Linked DNA regions of Yarrowia lipolytica. The main gene of each other region encodes a partner of the protein of the gene in region 2 in a complex. Links are inferred from orthologs where the notes say so. Each region holds a gene or a part of one and is shown on either strand. Other genes may lie near its edges.

Region 1 (8,295 bases), about 350 kb from region 2:
GATAGCATGGTGGCCCAGCATCCGACCATGATGGCTCCAGGACGAGAGCCAGCAAGAGTGGGAGAGCCGTAGATACCTCCGGTCCAGTCGGGTGCAACAAAGTACTGGTAATGTCGAAGCTCGGGTGTTCTGTACATGATGATAGAAGATCCCTTGGGGGCAAATCCGTACTTGTGGGTGTCACATGAGATGGAAGTGACACCAGGGACTCGAAAATCGAACAGGATCTTGTCGAAGCCAGCTCTCTCAAGGTAAGGGACGATAAAGGAGCCCAGACAAGCATCCACATGCAGGGGGATTTTGTGCTTGAGAGCGATATCAGAGAGGCCCTCGATGTCATCGATAATACCATGGGGGAAGTTGGGGGCAGATCCGACTAGCAGAACGGTGTTTCTGGTAACCATTCGTCGCACAGCCTTCAGATCAACCTTCATAGTCTTCGGATCGACGGGGGCATGTCGCAGCTTCATTCCAAAGTAGTAGGCAGCCTTGTCAAAGCCGGCATGCACAGTGATAGGAGCAATAATCTCGGGATGTGTGACGCCTCGCTCGTTGTAGGCCTTCATCTTGGCGGCCAGAGAAGTCAGCAGGAGAGACTCGGTACCTCCAGATGTAGAGGTTCCGCAAGAGCCCTCAGGGCCATGGAAAAGAGCCAGAACCATAGCAACAACCTCAGACTCCATCTTTCGGACACCCGGGAAGACATCGGGATGAAGCTGGTTCGCCACTGTGAACTGGGAGAATGCCTCGGATTGCAGGTCTGTGAGCTCCTTACCTCCGTGGTAGACAGCTCCACTTACACGACCCTTTTCCCAGAAGGTTCGCTTCATATCGTGGTACTTAGACATCTCAGTGATGACCTCTGTGTTGGTCATACCTTCAGCAGGGAGAGTCCCAAAGATTTGGGTGCCGGGCATTCGGACGATAATGTCGTTCTGGATCTTCTCAATCACAACCCCTGTCTCCTTGTCAATCTTAGCCTTGATGAAGGGAATGTCGAGAATCTTTTTGGTCACTTTTCTGGCATGGAAACGGAATGTGTTTTGAAGTCCATCAGCAAAGATGGTGTGAATAAAAGAAAGGAAGTTGCCAAGGGCTGTGAGAATGACGCTGAGTTAGTATATACATGGCTGGGTTGCTCTAGCTCATCGTTTCCAGATCAAATCACATGAACAGCGAGTAGCTGTTAATTGTATGTCGTAGCTAACATATGATGACTGATATCATGTCCGTGTGCTCCCGGTCGGACGGTCGGATGTACGGCCAAGAGAAGCCTCTGTGAATAATTGCTCCAAGATCTCATGGGTAAAACGTCGTGAGTGTCATGGCGTCAATGGTATCTCTGTAAGATCGCCTTTTACTTGTGTCGTTTTGATTCTCAATGGGACCGTGTATACTCACACAATAAATACCGCATCTCGAAATCTGGGTTAGTAGTACTCAAACAGTCTCATCCTTCGCTTATTCTCACTTTTCATAGGTAGTGGCATTCTGGAAATGCTCAATTACCTCAGCCCTCACGCAGTCGTGCTTCGAATGAAGGTAAGCGACCGGAGAAGCCTGGAACTCGTGGTAGTGCTGATGCAACAGGGCATGGAGCTCGTGGACGCATTTCTGCAGACACTCCAAGTGGGGGATCGCCATTGTTGTGTTTCTGTGGTGTTGGTGTTGGTGTGCAACAAGAGAAGAAATTGTGGGGGTTATAGACAGGTGCACTTGTGTGTCGGATGCTTACTGCCTGTGGTCTGTAGTGAATGTAGCCACTTTAGCTTTCGAAGCTGCATCTAGATATCAGGAGGTGAGATATTAACTCCGGGGAATGCATGGATGCGGTTGTCAGCGGGGTTTATTAAACACACCATTGATGGGCGCCAACGGTTGGGGCTTGGAAGAGATTCTTTCTTAACAGAATTTCCTATATATTGAATGCCTTCCGGCAACTCAAACATCCTTCCTCCCCCTTCTTTGCACTTTATAACTCCTCCACACTGAAATAGCCTCAACACATTCCGTTTAAACTTGCTTAGGCGATCTACTGCGTCTTATTATTATTGGCATCTGAGAGCTAATAGCGAGCGATGATTGAGGTATTAGGAGAGGCCAAACTAAACACAAGTTACGTGAGGCTCTGAAGCTATTTCTATGCCCGCATTATTCGTTTCAGTAGCTCTTTTTCTATCACTTTATCATTCTATAGTTGTATCCTGTTCCCACATTCTCCGCACTTTCGCTTTTAGAGCTAAACTCCGAACGAGTTTTTTATCATTCATGTGAAGGGAAGGTAGGCGGAGGTCAGTATATCGAAGCAGCATGTGGAGTCGCCTGCGTGTTGTTGTTTTTTCCAAAGTCGATTTTTCTGTAAATATCGCCACCATCTTCATCAGCTATTATCTAAACAGAGCTACAAGTAGTGAATAATATCCACAGTTATGGGGATCGAACAGGCAGGAGCTGCAAGAAACTCATAACCTGTGGTTAATAAGTGGCCGATATTTCTTGCTCTCTAGCTGCAAATCTGAACAACCCTGACCTTACAATAGTTTATTCGGGCCTTTCACTCATTGCATAATCCTGCTTTAGCACTCCATATCGCTTTAGTAATCAAATGTATCAATTCTGCACCTCCCAACCTAATTGTCTTCATCACCAACATGGAACTTGTGGATCTGGAGTCGATCAAGACGACGGTGGACTCTTCTTCAGTTCGGGAAGAGGCCGTTGCGGCCCGTCAGCTGTTGGAAAAACAACGTCGAGCTGATATTCTCAAAAAACTGCATGTTCCTACAGACGATAAGGATGTTAGAGCGAAACTACGATCGTTGAATGAGCCCATTACTCTTTTCGCAGAAGACAAAGCTGATCGACGGACCCGTCTGGGTCAGCTAATGGTGGACGAGTTTGATCGGGAAGGTCTGCAGGACGAAGAGAGCGATTCTGACGTTTCTATGGACGACGACGAGTTTTTTACGCCAGGAAGTGAAGAGTTGCTTGATGCAAGGAGGCAGATAACAAACGACAGTATCTTGAGAGCAAGGGACCGACTCACGACACAAAAGCAACAGTCGGAATTGTCCCTGGTGGAGACAGTTAACCTACGACGAGATAAGATGGCCCCTATAGAGCAGTATCAGCTTCTGGGATCACAGTTCGTTTCCACACGTCCAGCAGGGGCCGTGGCTTTTGGAAGCGACTCTATACTGGCTGCATCATCGTGGAACGGCGAGATCAAGCTAATGGATGTACCGAATCTGAATACCAAGGCTGTGTTGAGAGGGCACGTGGATAAAGTAAGTGCTTTGAAATGGGCACGTAATATCTTGCTGAGTGGATGTGGAGAGGGAAAGCTGCTGTTCTGGGATTCCAGCACAGAAGGCAACGAACATACTGCATACAGAACGGTGTCTGAAGCCCACAAGGGCCGTATCGCAGGTCTAGACGTTCATCCAAGCGGGCAGTGGGCTGCTACCGCGTCCTATGACTACACCTGGGCTCTGTGGGACATTGAGAGCGGTACCAAGCTGTTGTCTCAAGAAGGACACTCTAAGGGTGTCCACTCTGTGGCCTTCCACCCGGATGGAGCTCTAGTAGCCTCTGCTGGCTTGGATGCAGTAGGCAGAGTGTGGGATATGCGATCTGGACGAAGTATTCAGACTCTGGAAGGCCATATCCGAGAGATATACAGTCTGGGATGGTCTGGTAACGGGTTCTATCTTGCATCTGGATCTGCTGACGGATCTGTCAGAATATGGGATCTGCGTGCTCAAAAATGTTCCCACACAATCCCTGCACATACAAAGATTGTGTCGAGTGTTCAGTTTGACAAGTCGGGCTCATTTCTCGCATCTACGGGATACGATGGCGACTTTAACATCTGGAATGCCGATTCGTGGACCCTGGCTAAAAGGTGGAAGACGCAAGACCGAATCATGGGCATGGATTTGGGACCTGGAAACGAGTACTTCGCCACCTGTGGCTGGGATCGAACAGTGAAGTTGTGGTGCAAGGAGTAGGCGTTGAAGGGGTAGGAACACATACCGTATCGGTAATATATTGCATTCAAACTACAAGTACTTGTAAGTAAAAATAGAACCACTCAATCCGTCAGTAATTAATTAAACCTCCTATAATACATAATATATTTCATCATTCGTCATCCGTCTACTCTGACTGCGTATTAGGTCCATCGGCAGGAGAAAGAGCTCGTCTAGGAACCGAGCTCGATCTCACACCGTACCTCGCACGTGATGTCTTGGGAGCTGCCTCGCTCTGTCTCTTGAGCTGCTCCTCCAAGTTCTCCACCTTAACCTTGAGCTCTGCAATCTCCGAATCCCGAATTTCTCGCTCTTCGTCGAATGTGAGCTTTCTGAGGGCAGAAAACTCACCATCGGCACGCTGGTTGGCCTCAGCCAGCTCGGTTGTAAGCAATCCCACCTTCGCCAACGCCTCGGACGCGCTCTCGGATGCCTTTTGGTATTCGGAACGCATGTAGTCATTCTCATTGGACCGAGCATCAGCAGTAGCATTGGCCTTTTGCAGGCTCGTCTTCAGCGCCTGAATCTCCTCCTGCTGTTTGGTTTTGATGTCTGCGTCCTCTCCAGAAGCCAAAATAGCCTTCAGAGAAGCAACCTCATCCTGCAATCGAACAACTGCCTCCTCTTTTCGAACCGCATCTGATTCTCCTCGTTCGATCTTTCGCTCCAGCTTGCCAATAGTCTCCTCGAAGGACGCGTGTTGACGCACCTGACGCGCAATCTCGTCCTGTTGAGACTCCATTTTGAGCTGCTGCGTAGTTGCGAGCTTCCTGTGCGACTCGATTTCCGACACTAGTTGCCGTTCTCGGCCAACAAGCGAGTTGTATTGCTCCAGAAGCCCCTGTGTCAAACCTGTCCATCGACCATGTGCATAATCGTGTGGAGGAGCAAAGTGGTCTGCGCTGATAGGGTCCAGCTTGTACCGCTTAGAAGGCTGAGAAGAATTGTCCGTAGGGTCATTGGCGGTTCCAGGAATGGCCGATCGACGATGATACGACGAGGCCATTGAGGTCTCCACGTCCAATTTGGAGTACCCGGAAATGGGTGCTAGATCGGGAAGTGGCCAAGGAAGAGACAAATCGGCAAACCAGTAGGCCAATGGCTGAAGCTGCTGCAGGTACAACGACTTCATCTCAGCGGGGATTGTTCCAGATTTGTCTCTCAGCACCACTAGAGCTGCAATCACCTCTTCCGTAAACACTCTATCGGGGTTAGCAGTGAGTCCAAAGCTGTATGCGACATGCTCAGCAGAGAGGTTTGATACCAGACGCAACACGGGAGCGGGAATGTTCCTCTTGTGCATCCGTAGAGCCTCCACATGCACCTCTGCTGGGTTGAACGTGCTGTCGAAGGCAATCACCAGATCAAAACGATGATCGCCATTGTAACTACTCTCCAGCAGCGACGACGACATGACATGAATGGTCGTTTTGTGTGCTCGCTGCTTGGCCGACGGCTCTCTCAGATATGGGCCTGTATGTCTCTCGAAAGAAACAGGCTTGCCGTGCAGAAATGCCTCCACCAAATCCAACGTCTTTCCTGACCGCGCTATCAGAGCCACATTGTATTGCTTGTTTTCCAGCAGTGACACAATGTCGCCTAGCACGGCGAACTTGGCACTGGTACGCGCCAGCTTGTCGGGGATTTCTTTCAGCAACAGGCTCCGGGGCATGTAGTGGTCCACCAGCAGGTACGGATGGGTTGCAACCAGTAACGAGTCCTGATACATGGCTCCCAGAGAATCGGCCCAATCAGAGGGTGCGCACGACTGATTTTGTGTCGGACTGATTGTGTCGTAGAACCGCAGAATGTCAGAATAATGCAGGTTGACCACCTGGTCCGTCAGTTCTCGTTGGAACTCGGCCATCTGGACTGGCAGACAGTAATCCATGCTGCGGTTGTCGGAAGCAGCGTTGATCACCGCATCTGTCGAGAGAATCGGCTCCGGCGTCACGTCCAGAATTTTTCCAATGTCCATTTTAGTAGGTGTCAGGGGACTTGATGCAGATAGAGATCAGAATGTCGTGAGGAAGAGATGAAGTGGTGAGAGAGTGTCTGCGTCAAGTTAAGGTTTGGCTCGTGGTCGTCAGTATTTGACAACGTTCAAATTCGCGTAGGAGTGGTGATCGAGGTGTAAAATTCACGTGGAGGGCTTGAAATGGAATTTCTAAGATTATGTCCAAATTTCAGCTCATTCGAGAGCCATATTTCACGTTTTTGAAGTATACATCCCACCTGCTGTAGGGAAGCTTACGTACCATTAAGTTGGTTGCCCTTATCCTCTGTTTTTCTGTGGGGTGTAAGAAACGACGGTGATTTTCATATCAGCAAGAATGTCACGTTTTTGACCTCCAGAAATGCCAGATATCGGATAGATTTCTTGTACAAGTAATGGTATTTCAGTCACCCTGCTCGTAACACCGCAATCATCTGCTTAGTAATCTATATCTTGATAAACTACATAGGCCATCGTGTGTACAGGCACTGGTGTGAAATTACGTGTTGGTCACTTGTAAGCGTCTTTAGTGTGTGCTAATAGGACTGGGCAAATACTGTAGAGAGTATAATACAGTATGTGGTGTGGTTGTTGTATTACTTGTAGTAGCTAACGTGACCTTCAGGGAAGGCCTATATTTGCTGTGCTGTTTGATCCATCCATTGATAGCAATTTTAGCGTGTATAAAAATAAATACATTCTCTTGTACTTGTACTTGTACTGTAGAAGTGCTGGTACTTGTATCTCTCATTCCACAAGCACATAGAAATCGCATGCTTAGTAATCATGCATTGTGATACGTTTGTCAGGAGCACTGCAACAGAGAGATCAAGAGCTACTGAACGAGACCAGACACTAGGATTGTTGTGGGGAATAATATCGTTTCTACAGGTTTGGGGTCCATTTCTCGTTTACATACATTGAACCCTGAGACTGAGGAAGATTGTTACACCACACGCAGGACTATCAATTCGTGTCTATCAGTTATGGATGAGACAAATTATTGAGACCATTATACTATAAGCAGCAGTGGGAAAGACTGGTGTCGTTTTATTATCAAGACTGATGAGAACTCCAGAAGTAACTGGAACATCGAATCCGTGCTCTCTACTGGGCCGTTGAAACTACAGTAAATTTACAATGAATTCCAAATCAACTACAAGCGTTGAAAAGAGCACATTGCCCAAGATGGCACCATGAACTCCTATACACTATATTGTATTGTAGTCTTACAGTATCATTAGGCATAACTTCGCAGATAACCTCTCATTATTCTTCTCGTCCGACTCCTCCGCACAACCCTGATTCACCTCTGACATCTCAGACCTTCACTCATTATCCTGCATATTATCACAACGCGTTTGAGTTTCCTGATCTCAATTGCACCTTTCAACACCAGCAATGACGGAAACCAGCGTGGGCAAGACGGAAAACACGATCTCGGCCGACGAGGTGGCACTTTATGACCGGCAGATTCGACTGTGGGGCATGGAATCGCAGGCGCGGATGCGTAACTCCAAGATCCTACTCATCAACATCGGGGCAGTCGCCAACGAAATCGTCAAGGACCTGGTGCTCGCAGGTATCGGCTCGTTGACTATCGTGGATGCGCACGTCACCTCTGATGCCGACTTTGGAGCACAGTTTTTCGTGCAGGAGGGCGACGAGAACAAAAACCGAGGAGAATCTGCCCTGCCTCGAATCTCACAGCTGAATCGACACGTTACCGTGGAGACGGTGGACAAGGTCATTTTGGACCTGGACAAGGAATTTGTGGGCAAGTTCGACCTCGTGGTTATCACCCAGGCCACTCTGAAGGAGATTGTGCACATTACAACCCTGTGTGAAGAGACAGACACCACTAACATCTGCGTGGGCATCTCTGGTCTCTTCTCCTACGCCTTCATTGATTTCAGAGAGTATACTTACAAAATTGAGACTCCCAACAAGCCCTCGACCATGAGCATCCCTGAGCAGGCTACCTTGGTGGGGACAGTTGAGTTAGAGACTGGAAACTACAGTGCTTCTCTCAAGCAGAGCTTTAAGCCGTTCAAGCAGGTGCTCGAGGCTGTTCAGACGCCGAAGCCCTTTGCTCACATGCGACCTAAGCACAAGTCTCGAATCCCCGGATACGTGCCTCTTCTGTTTACAGGCTGGGAGTACGAACAGACAAACCCCGGAAAGTCGTGGGGCGATTTGAGTGCAAAGGAGTTCCACGAGCTGGGTGTGGAGCAGTGTTCGAAGCTGCAGCTGCCTCTGGGAATCATT
Region 2 (11,537 bases):
GAGACCCTCTCAAAAAGAAGCGCAATTCTAACAGAATTACAACGATGACTTCAAATCGAGGTTTAAATTAGTCATCTAAGTGGTTGTTTTTTTTTTTATGTTTTTTTTTTATTTTTTCATCCTTTTTCTTTTCATTCGTTCAGGACATCTACATCTTGACTGGTGTATAGGCATGGGAAGATTATCGTGACTTCAAACCACGTAACGGGACAACTACAACAAGCCTGTATAAGTGCTGTACATCCCACATACAACTCAAAACCTTTAAATATCATAATCATTAATCTATCTATACATTTTTTCCTCTCTTAGTAAGCTATCTACTGCTGAGGAGGAAAGCCACCCATGGAAGGGATACCGTTGGGGAAGAGAGCTGCCAGAGCCGCGTTGGCGTCCATCTGGGCAGCGTTGACTTGTGGTGGAGGAGCGGGAGATCTGATGCCGACAGGAACGTGGTTGGCGTTGCCTCCGTAGCCTCCTCCTCCGTAACCTCCTCCATAACCTCCTCCGTATCCACCTCGGTCTCCTCCGTAGCCCCCACCTCGGCCTCCATCTCGTCCCCCATCTCGGTCAAATCCTCCGCCCCCTTCTCGATCAGGGAAGGAAGATCGGGGTCCATTTCGGCCACCGGCGTTGGTGGGCATTCGCTTGGACTTGGCCTTGGAAGAAACGCCGGTACCAACCTCGATATCGGGCTCCTCGATACACATGCCAGGAGCCACAGGGACTCCTCCAGTGCCTCCGTAGGGAGCAGAAACCACCCACTTCATGTCTGCCTCGGTAAGCGTGGCAATGGGGATGACGGAAATACCGGTCTGGTAGTTGGAGCAGTCTCGAGGACCGAAACCGACACCCCATCGGGCTCGCAGAGTGATACTGCCCTGCTGGTTGAGTCGGGTGAAGTTCTGCAGAACGGCCTCGGCCTCAGCTCGAGTGTACATTTTACAGAAGGCGTGCTTTCGCTCTCTGTGCATTACCAGCGACTGGGTTCGGCCATAGGGTCGCAGAATGGATAGAAGCTCCTCGTTAGTGGTCGACATAGTCACACCTCCAATGAAGATAGTTCGAGACAGCACCTTGATGGTTCCAGGAGGCAAAGAGTTGTCGTAGGTGACCTTCTTCTCGGTGGGAGGAGGAGCGTCGTCCTCAAAGGTGTCGGTTCCGGGAGGTTGTCGGTTCTGGTTTCGGCCTCGGCCAAAGTCCCGATCTCCTCCTCGGTCTCCCCCTCGGTCTCCAGAACGGTCTCGGTAGTTTCGGTCTCGTCCGAAATCACGGTCTCGGGGATCTCGGTCCCGGGGGTCCCTGTCTCTGTACTCTCTAGAACGGTCTCGGAAGTTGTCTCGGGGATCTCGGGGGTCTCGGGGGTCTCTCGACGGAAGGTTCCAGGCCTGGTTGACATCTCCACCGGGCATGGTAGGAGGAGCACCGCCAGACTGAGCCATGATCATCTTGAGCACATCAGCAGCAGCATTGGGGTTGGCAGCGGGTGCGGGGGCAGGTGCGCCCGCGGCAGCGCCAGCGTTCATGCTAGCAAGAGCCTGCAGAATGGAGGCTGTATCAGTAGGCACGGGGTTGGAGGCAGCGGGAGCAGAGGGAGCAGCACCGCCAAGAACAGCGGCCAGAGCAGCAGCAGCATTGGCGCCTCCAGCAGGAGCTGCTGTGGATCCAGTGACAGGGGGCTGGCCCTGGTTAATGAGATCAATCAGCTGCGAGGGAGGAGACTGCTCAGGGGTCTTGGACATACTAAAGAAGCCCCGCATTCTCTGCATGGAGTCAGGGGGGAAAGTTCCAGCCTTCTGCCAAATCTCCACCAGCTTGTCCAGCTTGTCTCGAGTGTCGTCAGAGGAAGTATGGTCTACACACTCTCGAGCAGCTCTCTCGACAAACTCAGAGATTCGGAAAAGACCCTTGGCATGGGAGCCGTCGGGAGCTTGGGGGTTCAGAGCATGGCCAACCTTCTTGTTCTCCTCTTGGTACGCTCGAGCAACGGCATCTAGAACATACATGGCTCCAAGCTTGTGGCTCAGAGGAGTCTTGTTGAGATGTCGCTCAAGGATGGGAATGAGAGTGGATTCCATCTGGGTTAGTAATACGTTGGGGAAGGGCTATGGGGTACCATGATCTCGTAGGTTACGGTGGTTACGATAGTGGTTTGAGATGATTTGAAAACTTGGGGAGCCATCTTATCACCATATTGGAGTGTGACAAGATGTTCGTTCACCCTCAAACCAGATACAATGGTACAGTTGCAACGTACAACTGATTACTGTGTACGTGTTATACTGCGCGCGCGTGTTTTACTGCAATGAAAGCAAAATAACAGTGTGAAATAACGGTGATTTTTTTTGTATTGTAGGTGTGGCAGCCGGGTCGCCATCTCCACTTGTGTAAGAACAAAATAAGGGTATCATTTGTTAATGTTCCGACAATAAGACACATTGATAAATAGACACTGGACAAGCGTGTCAGTTCATACGATAAAAGTCCCTGATATCACTCGTGTGTTGTCGTCATCATTGTCACCGTTGCGTCTCACCTCCATATATACCATACGATCTACCGGTTGGTCGTCACAAAAGTCAGGATAATACTCACATCAACGTTCTTCATGGCCAACTCTCGAATTCCGTTAATCTTGGAGCCAGACACTCCTGGAGCCTTTGCCACCAACATGGATGCCAAAAGCGCCTCGAATTCAGTTTCCACTGCCGAAGACATTTGTGTTTGTGTGTGTGTCGTGATTTGTGTGTTTAGTGCGTGTGTCAAAGCTGGGGGCAAAATACTGTACTACAATAATACCACTTGATACGATACGAGTACTGTGTTTGTGTTGTCGTAGAATGTTTTGCTGAGTGCTGAGATGTTGTGTGGATGAAGGAGAGTGGGTTGCGCAAAAACTGGTACCATATTGTAGTTAGGGTTACCCGGCCGGATTTAAGGTTACATAGGTTGTAAGTCATATGATGTGAAAGTGTCATCGTGGAATATAGAAGGATGTTATGGTTGCCCTGTTTGCCAAATTTTGACAGGCTCCTTATATACTACGTTGAATTTTTTGTATTATCAAATCTATTTATGTAGCTACTGTACATGAGTCTCAATGGCACTTCAGATTTTTTTCTTTTAACTCAGGTAAGAGAAGAATGTGGTATAAATTTGAGCCCAAGAGGGAACCATAATCATGCTGTACGGAAAGTTGTATTGTCCTAACTTCTGGTCAGAGCTTATTCTCACAGTATAATAAACGTCAGAAAAGGCTTAAAGATGAAACAGTCAACAGATACATCATTTTGTGCTTTTTTAACAGGTTTTTTTATTCTAGGGAACAGATTATGAGTTCTCGTGTCAGGACTCCATGGCTACCATCCTCAAAAAGTTTATAGCCGCCTTCGTGGCCAAGTGGTAAGGCGCAGCACTAGTAATGCTGAGATCATCAGTTCAAATCTGGTCGAAGGCATATATTTTTATAATTTTTGAACACAGGGTACACTGCCGGTTACCAGTACTTGAACCACTATATTACCAATCAATCTTCTTTTACTCACTCACACTACTGTACAATTTATGCACATGATACAGTAGGTACAGTATGTACCGTACATACAGCTCAAATCATTTGACTTCAGGGGTTCTATATAAAAATACATCATTTCGTTTTATTTTGCACACTCTCTCTCTACTCCTCATCATCCTCCAGCTGCTCGTCAATGAACTCAACTGCTTCCTTGAACCGTTCCTCCACAATTCGATGTAGACCGGTGCTGTCACATCGGAGCACTCGTCCAAACTTACGCCTTGGCTTCTTGGGGTTAGTGCTCACATCCCAGCAGGGATGGGTGTCCGCAGTGAAAACCAGTGACGATCGGTAGAACCAGTCGGTGATGTACTCGTCAATAATGGAGACAATAGGGCGCAGCTGGGTCTCGGAGATGAAGTTGATGACGCAGTTGACCTTTTCTCGGGTGTCTCGGTGGCCTACCAGATGCACCAGACCAGCGTAGGCATCACCAAAGCCCACCATGATCACGTTCTGCGCGTCAAACACACTGAGGTACTTGTCCCACAGATACAGGCACACCTCCTGGCTGGCAAACAGTGCATAGTAGTTGTCGTCGTCAGCTCCATTCAAAGCCTTGGGAATGTTGACGTCAATGATACCGTATCCCCGTCCATGTGCCCACTCCAGCCACTTTGTCGTCACGTCAACCATGCAGGAATCAAAGTCAAGCTCGCCAGTGACAGCGTCCACCTTACCCCAGATCTGAGGAGGATCATGCACAAACACAACCACGGTTTCGGCCGAGTGGATTTTTGGTGATGCAAGAATCTGGTCTGCCAGAGAGATTGACGATCCTGAAGCAGGACCAGCAGTGGCAGCCCGTCCAGATGGCGTACTGCTGCTTCCTCCCATGTTTGGAAGAGCCGATAGCTTGTACTTGTCGAACAGCTTGCGTGCCTGGTAGGATCGAACGACGTCACCCATCAGATCGTACGTGGTGATCTCCTTGGGAATGATAGTCTCAAAGCCAGGCTGCAGACATCGCCAGTACTGAGACTGGGTCTCGACCACATCCTGGACAACAGAGATAGTTGCAGAGGTGGGCTTGAAGGCCGCAGGAAGAGGAAGAGGCGCCTCTCCAAGAAGCACCTTGGTGACGGCCAAGGCAGACTTGGCAGTGGCCTCCAAAGTGTAACCTCCCTCCAGCACCACAGCCAGGTTTCCAGAAGCCAGGCCCTTGAGCATGTGGGTCATGTGACCATATCCCGAAGGCGTAATCTTGCACCCACCAAGAAGATCACCCTCGGCTGCGTCGAAACCAGCTGACACAATCACAAAATCAGGGTCAAACTCCATACCAATTGGCATGACGACTTTTTGGAATGCGTAAATGTAGTCTGCATCGCCAGCTCCAGGGGCACTCCAGGGAATGTTGACACTGTATCCCTCTCCAGCTCCAGTTCCCACAGACGTGTGAGCTCCAAATGTGCCTCCAGGGTAGAATTTTCCGTTCTCGTACTGGTGCAGAGAAATGTAAAGCACCCTAGGGTCATCCAGAAAGGCTCGTTGGGTACCGTTTCCGTGATGAACATCCCAGTCGAGAATCAGGATCCGCTTAACTCGCTCAGGGTACCGTTTCAGTAGCACCTTGGCAGCCACAGCCACGTTGGAAAACATGCAAAAGCCAGCAGGGTTGCCAGGCTCGGCGTGATGGCCTGGTGGACGAACGACGGCAATGGCGTTCTTGACATTCCGCTCGATCACGGCTCTACACGTCTCAATGGTTCCTCCACAGGACAATTTGCCTGCACTGAACGACTCATTGTTGAAATAGACCGAGTCGCCCTTTTCGCCCTCCTCCAGTAACTGCGGTCGGTTCATCTTCTCCGTCGACGCTAGGAAGTCCACATGTGCGGGGGTATGCACCTCCAGAACCTCGTCGAGCGAGGCTTCTCGGATCGGAATCTTTTCCATCAGTGGGCCAATGTCCTCCAGACCTAGATACTCGGGATCCACCACTAGTCCTGCATCCACCAGCGCCTTGTACACTGAGAAAATACGTCTCGGGTCCTCTGGATGAGGGTCCACGTAGTCGTAGGATGTGGACACCAGACGAGCATGGTATCGCATTCGCACGTCGTAACAGACTCCAGTTTTCAGCGGAATGTAACGCAGCTGAGGAGCCTTGAGGGCTGGGTTGACGTCTGCGTCGAGGATGAGTTCACGGGCGCGTTGTGTGTCGAATTCAGGCGTGTCTGTCTCCTCAAACTTACGCTTGCCGTTGACGTGCTCCAGGTCCACCAGCGACAGAGTCTGGGGCACAAAGTTGGTATCGAACTCCGTCTTGATGGGCTGCGCCATTCGCTCAGCAATCTGGCCGGAGATGGAAGCGCTGTCATAGTCCCCTAGCTGCACCTGATCCATGTTGATTTTATAGTCGTCCGACGTGTCCATCAAATCGCCATCGGCCACCGCACCAGTGTCGTGCATCGCCTGTAGGTCGTGTTCGTTCGTGTTGGTTGCTGTAGTGGTGGTTGCTGTAGTGTCGGTTGTGCCCGTTCCGGTCGTGCTAGTTGCGGCGTTCGTGTCGTGTGTGGTGGGTTCGACGACGGCTTCAGTCTTGACGTCGGTGCTAGCAGGAGCCTCATTTATCTCATCGATTTTATCGTTGGCAGTCACTTCGGGCTTCTCGTCGGTCTTATCCTCTGCTTTGACTACCTCTTGCTCATTCTCCTCCTTCTTCTCATCCTTCCCTTCAACTCCGTTCTTGTGATCCTCTTCAATCTTAGCACCAGGTTCAGCTTTTTGTTCAATCGAAACAGAGGGCTCATCAGCAGCTGTTTCAGCCCCCGGAAGCGGTTTTTCAGACGTGTCGGGCGCGGTAATCTCACCAACATTGGTCTCGACGGCCGCTGCACGCTCCCCCGCGTCCTTGATATCCCGATCACTGTCCATTTCTATCGTGTTGTGGTGGTGGTGAGGCTAAGAAGGTTTTACCCGGTTGCTCTGTATCACACACGTCCCTGGGTCCATCACTAGTGGTGGGCGCGGTTGGAGCCTAAAGAGATTGTAGAGTGCATCAGAAGACCGTCGATGGATTACTGCCGCCCCTGAACCAATCACGGTATTTGGCCTTTCCGAAAATCGAACTGGAGCCGCCGTGGACCCTCTAGAAACCGCACGTGACTTATACGACACTACAAGGCCCTAAAACCACAAAAAGGGAGCGTCGCCCATTTTTCACACCTTGTCCAGATAAGCTTGGGGGTGATGTGAACCGAAATAACTGGTTGTAACCGGGGATGTGTGCAGCTTTCCACGTGACAGGTCGTCACTGAGCGACTTTGTGTTGTCACGTGATCATTCCCATTGCTCCTGGCACTCCCTCTCCATTTTAATCCCACTCGTAATATCCACTTCCATCCTCACATCGACCTACCGGAGACATGCAACAATCGGAGAGCTTATTGATTGTACTGGCCTACACTGGGATATGCTGGAGCTTGTAAATGGGGAGGTTCTGACTTGGCGAATCATATACAGTCTTAATCTGAGCAGTCACTTGCAAAGTACTACACTTCCGAAAAGGCACTTTGCTGCACAAAAAACGTAGCTCTCCGCGTCGCTTCGTTCCATTACCTATTGTAGGCAGTGTCTTTAATTGAACCTTGTCCCAGTCTCGCTACAAGTAGCCTCCCTCTTTGGGGTTATGCGGAGGTGTGGCGAAAACGACCTACCTGTCTGAGAAGTATCGATGGAGTAAGGTGATGGTTCACGTGATTATAAACATTGTACCAAGGTCAAATATCGTCGTGTGAAAGGCAGTTTCTTGTTGTTTGTTTACTACTGCTCATATTCTCGTTCATAATGTTTGGTCAGTGCCTGCCCCCTCAAACTCCCCTAACCCCCTGACCCCAGATAAGCTCCCTCATGCAGCAACTTGTGTACCACCATCGCCGTTGTCTAATTTTTTTTTCGCTCAGGCCTCAAAACGACCATGTTCCGATCCAGCGACCGACCCCGGTTCAATCTCAAGCTCAAAATTATCGAGCTGGCCAATGTGCCCCAACTGACAGGTGTGGCGACCGTGCGATGGCATCTCACCGACCATCGACGCAACGACTTTCGAGGACGTACGGACGTCGCTCGAATCCGGAACCACCGAGCCGAATGGAACTACGAGACGTCCATGGAGTTCAGAATGCGAATAGACGATGATAAGATGCTGCACGGCTCGTCCATCATGTTCGATGTGTTTGTGGAGTCCAGAAACGACCGTCAGAATGACAAGGAGATCAACACCTCGGACAGAAACCACCTAGGACGAGTGGAGCTGAATCTCGCTGAATACGCCCAGGACGAACCAATTACGCACAGATACTTGCTCCGAAAGTCCAAGGTCAACTCACTGCTCAACGTCTCCATCAACATGGAGCAGCTGCGAGGAGATACAGATTATATGATTCCTCCTCTCTCTACACAGCACATTTTCGGTCTCATGAGCCAGAAGGAGACATCTGATGCCGGCGGAGAGAGCAAGACGTGCGAGTATCGAAGAGAATTCGCCCGAGGTTACTTTGTCTCGCCCCAGGGAGTGTCTGTCAACAAGTGTATTGAGGACATTTTCCATGGAGGGGACGGATTTGGAGACGGAGGCAAGGGTATGTTCTGGCAGCCTCCCAAGAAGAAGGGCTCCAAGAGGGATGCTGATATCAAGGAGGAGCCTGAGAATTCTTCAGGTACCAACGGTAACCAGCCCAAGAAGACCAGTGCTTCTTGCAAGCTCAAGGAGCGTCTCACCTTCCACAAGTCCCATCCTAACAACCCCCATACTCCGCCCAAGCCCTCGCCGCTGCACGAATCTGTTGACCAGGAGCAGATGCAGGAGGAGAGTGCGGGTATGCCTCGCTCTACTGAGGACAATGCTATGGGAGCCGGTCCCAAGTCCCAGGAACCTGCAGGTGTCAATCTTGGAGGCAAGCGAGGTGCCGATCGAGTCTCAGACTTGTACAGAGGCTTCCGGGACTTCCAGAGCACTCGAAGAGACCAGGTCAGACAGGGCAAGAGTCTGGAGAACTTTGTCATCAACAGCGCTCCTCCTGGTGTGACTCTGCCTCGAGCTACAGACATGCTCAATGGATACATCAGTTGGTACGTTGTGGACGAGAAGACCGGCCTTGAGGAGGAGGGCTCAAATCTCGAGGGCCAGAAGGTGGCACACAAGCACTATGTTGAGCAGAAGATGATGCACGATGAGTTTATGAGAGAGCGAATTAACGTGCTGGCAGAGGAGAGCAAGGCTCGGGAGGAGGTGGAGCGCTTCAACAAGTCTCATGGAATCGACAAGCCTGCATACGAGCCACTTCCTCCCAAGAGTGAGGGCATTCTTCCCGAGATGGCACATGCTCAGGCTATTCAGCAGGAGGCAGAGGCTAAAAAGAATGCACAGGAGGTTCCCGACCAGAACGGACACCAGGCGTCTTTGCCCATGGCCCCTGCTGGGGCCAAACACTCTGAGCGAGCTCGTGCAGCCTACGAATTTGCACCCAAGACAGCTGAGCCCAGCAACTCGGAAGTGGCTCCGGACGTGTCTGGCCAGCGAGACGCTCCTGTTGTCAACAATGCACGGGAGCACATGGCCGAGATGCGACTGGACTCGGAGTTGGAATCAAATGATCACTCTGTGCAGCCCTCTGAGGTGACCGCCGCGCAGCAGCAGCAACATCAGCCGAAGCAAGAGCCTTCTCAAGAGGCTAACGTGCAAGCAAGTTTTGATGTTAATTCTGCTGAGCGTTCCAACACCAACCCGGAGATTCTCGCTCAGCCTTTGAAGGATAGTGCATTGCCGAAGTAGAAGCAGCTTTGACTGATCGAAGACGTATGTAATTGAAGTATTTATTTATATCTCCACGCCATGGAGTGGGTTTCTATCAATAATCTGTCACCTGCATGTGCAGTATATGTCGGAGTCTCTATCGGAGCGTCTAAAACCAGTCTTGACAGATCTACAAGCGCCCCGAGTCTCACATGAGATCGTATTCGCATAACATAGTGTCACCTACCTTTAGACCCTGGCCATACGTGTGATAGGTACCTATCTATCAGAAAGTCTGTATGTATTTTCTATGACACCGATAAAGCATGGATCCGGAACTCCGTGGTATTATGAAGTCTGGAATGTGGGTACAAGTACTCCGTTTTGGGGGTTGCATTAGACCCAAGTGTAACAACGTAGAGCAACGTCTGCTCTGCTAGAGCACGTGAATATCAAACGCTCAACCCAATCCCTGGTTGAGTGCGGGTTAGCCTGGACATTTCTACGCCTTGATTACTCGTAGCGAGGGTTGAAAGTCATTTCGGCAAAAGGATGTCCGTGAAGAATAGAAAGTATCTAAGCACCAATAGCGGAGATTGCGATTTCTCACAAGTATAAGCAAGCTGAGACATAATTTGAGGACACACGATAGACTAGCCCGAGTTTTGGAGCTATTGGCTTCAGCGAAAAGCCTTTTTATTCCACCGCGAGCTCGTAACGACCCGTAGATGTGATTTAATCTGAAAATGTTGCAGGGCCCAGTGTATAGTCGATACAGTAAATACAGTACATGTTCCGTAGGCTTGTCTGGGTCCGTGGAGATGTTCGGATCGCTCCAACTATGGTAGAGACCTCCAACAGCCAACGGCAACGGCTAACGATGGCTTTTGGTTTAGACCCGTCAGCAGCTAAGAGAGCTACGAACCCCTCCTTGTCGACGAGCTCCTCCTCGCTCAACAGAGTTGTTGGGCTCTCTCGACAAGGAACGCAACGTGGGTTTTGAGTGTCTTACCCCAGTCCGTCAACACAGGGGCGCCAAGCAAAGATGGGGTCAGCCGTATGTGAAACGTTAGGCCTGATGCTGGTCACGAGCTGTTATCGGGGGAGCTGAGGTTACATTGTAACGATTGAGTACAGAAAGTGTTCATCAGGCTTGCTTGCTACTGTGTACCGATAGGGCTACTCCAAGGAAACATGTATACTTTTTTCCCCTTGAGCCGTCTCGTATAGTCCATTAATAATTGCCTACTGGAAAAGAATCGAACACGCTGGACCGTGGCTTGATCGTCATATTAGTTTCACATTGCCGGTGTCGTCATCCTCAAAAGTGGTGGAACGATTGTGGTGCCAAAAGTCAATCATGCGTCTCCACCCTCTTGCACACACTGAGATAACGAGACAGTTGCCGAAAAGTTGGGCGTTTTCTTTGTTACAGTGCCAAACAAAGAACAGGGGGGACCAAACTCTTTGTTGTCTCTCCTCATACAAAGACGTTCCAAGTCTTAAGTCATTTTAGATTTAATTTTTGGTCTACTGCCCATCGTTAGTGTGGAAAAACCGAGAAATACAAAATGCACCGTCGTCTGGCACCTCTACGAGCCCTATAGACCACGCTATCATAGGCCTACTTGGATCAGACCAAGACCTCCAAATCCAGCCTCTCCACCGTAAACGTAGACCCAGTATATGCACTGTGGGTAGTTCAGCTTGCTGCTGCACGGTTTCGTCATGATGACTCAAACACACCTTCTCCGAGACACTCTTCATAAGAGAGCTCATTCATCCGGGCTATTATAAACGCCTCGCAGACACAGTCCACACAGGACCAGAGGAGCACAAAAGACGCAGCATGTTAACGGGTATGCGGAGATGCGAAAACGAGCCAACAAACTACTGTACGTCTGTCTTCAAGCGAGACGGGTAAAGCGTAAATCCGCACTTAGGGAAGTAGAAGGTACACAATATTTCTGAGTAGGGCAGTTATAGCCGTTTTAGTTGATACCAGTACTTACAGTAGTAGGGGGTCAAATTGGGCGAGAAAATTTTAACGCACTATCGGACCGACTATTCAGTAGTGTGGGTCAAGCAGTGTCTATTTTATCGCAATCTCAAAATTGACACAAGTACAGTATGTACAAAGTACAAGTACTTGTACTCGTATGATACACCGTTTGTCAAATATCAGTCGCTCTTATTGATCGTCAGTATGGAATAAATAAATAA

The links. Proteins that work in one complex are often made in the same cells at the same time.
Region 1: the proteins of YALI1_E29709g (region 2) and YALI1_E33234g are in contact, whole or in part, in a cryo-EM structure (PDB 6Z6F), measured with the Saccharomyces cerevisiae proteins. The link is inferred for Yarrowia lipolytica from reciprocal best matches to the Saccharomyces cerevisiae genes HDA1 and HDA3. Residues at the interface, in NP_014377.1 of Saccharomyces cerevisiae: Arg67, Tyr68, Ala70, Ile72, Phe73, Tyr76, Phe77, Glu78, Tyr79, Ile80, His83, Pro87, Arg88, Tyr91, Arg92, Lys95, Leu108, Arg151, Asn167, Asn168, Asp169, Gln466, Ser470, Asp471, Phe475, Val476, Thr477, Pro479, Val481, Ser482; in NP_015505.1 of Saccharomyces cerevisiae: Gln47, Ile48, Ser50, Leu51, His52, Tyr53, Ser54, Leu57, Arg58, Glu61, Thr62, Lys66, Asp68, Val69, Glu72, Thr76, Asn80, Leu91, Ile92, Asp93, His94, Glu323, Leu326, Leu327, Thr328, Glu329, Val408, Asn409, Leu412, Ile416.

Annotation. Positions count from the first base shown.
Region 1 is NC_090774.1:3,321,146-3,329,440, reverse strand, and holds YALI1_E33234g (uncharacterized protein), read right to left. Parts: upstream 6,010-8,295; coding exon 4,159-6,009; downstream 1-4,158. Other genes in the region: YALI1_E33285g (uncharacterized protein), read right to left, coding at 1-917; YALI1_E33278g (uncharacterized protein), read right to left, coding at 1,398-1,425, 1,472-1,644; YALI1_E33268g (uncharacterized protein), read left to right, coding at 2,652-4,010; YALI1_E33220g (uncharacterized protein), read left to right, coding at 7,429-8,295. UniProt on the Saccharomyces cerevisiae protein: Required for activity of HDA1 histone deacetylase complex. The HDA1 histone deacetylase complex is responsible for the deacetylation of lysine residues on the N-terminal part of the core histones (H2A, H2B, H3 and H4).
Region 2 is NC_090774.1:2,964,454-2,975,990, forward strand, and holds YALI1_E29709g (uncharacterized protein), read right to left. Parts: upstream 6,455-11,537; coding exon 3,677-6,454; downstream 1-3,676. Other genes in the region: YALI1_E29665g (uncharacterized protein), read right to left, coding at 321-2,078, 2,596-2,718; YALI1_E29719g (uncharacterized protein), read left to right, coding at 7,497-9,353. UniProt on the Saccharomyces cerevisiae protein: Responsible for the deacetylation of lysine residues on the N-terminal part of the core histones (H2A, H2B, H3 and H4).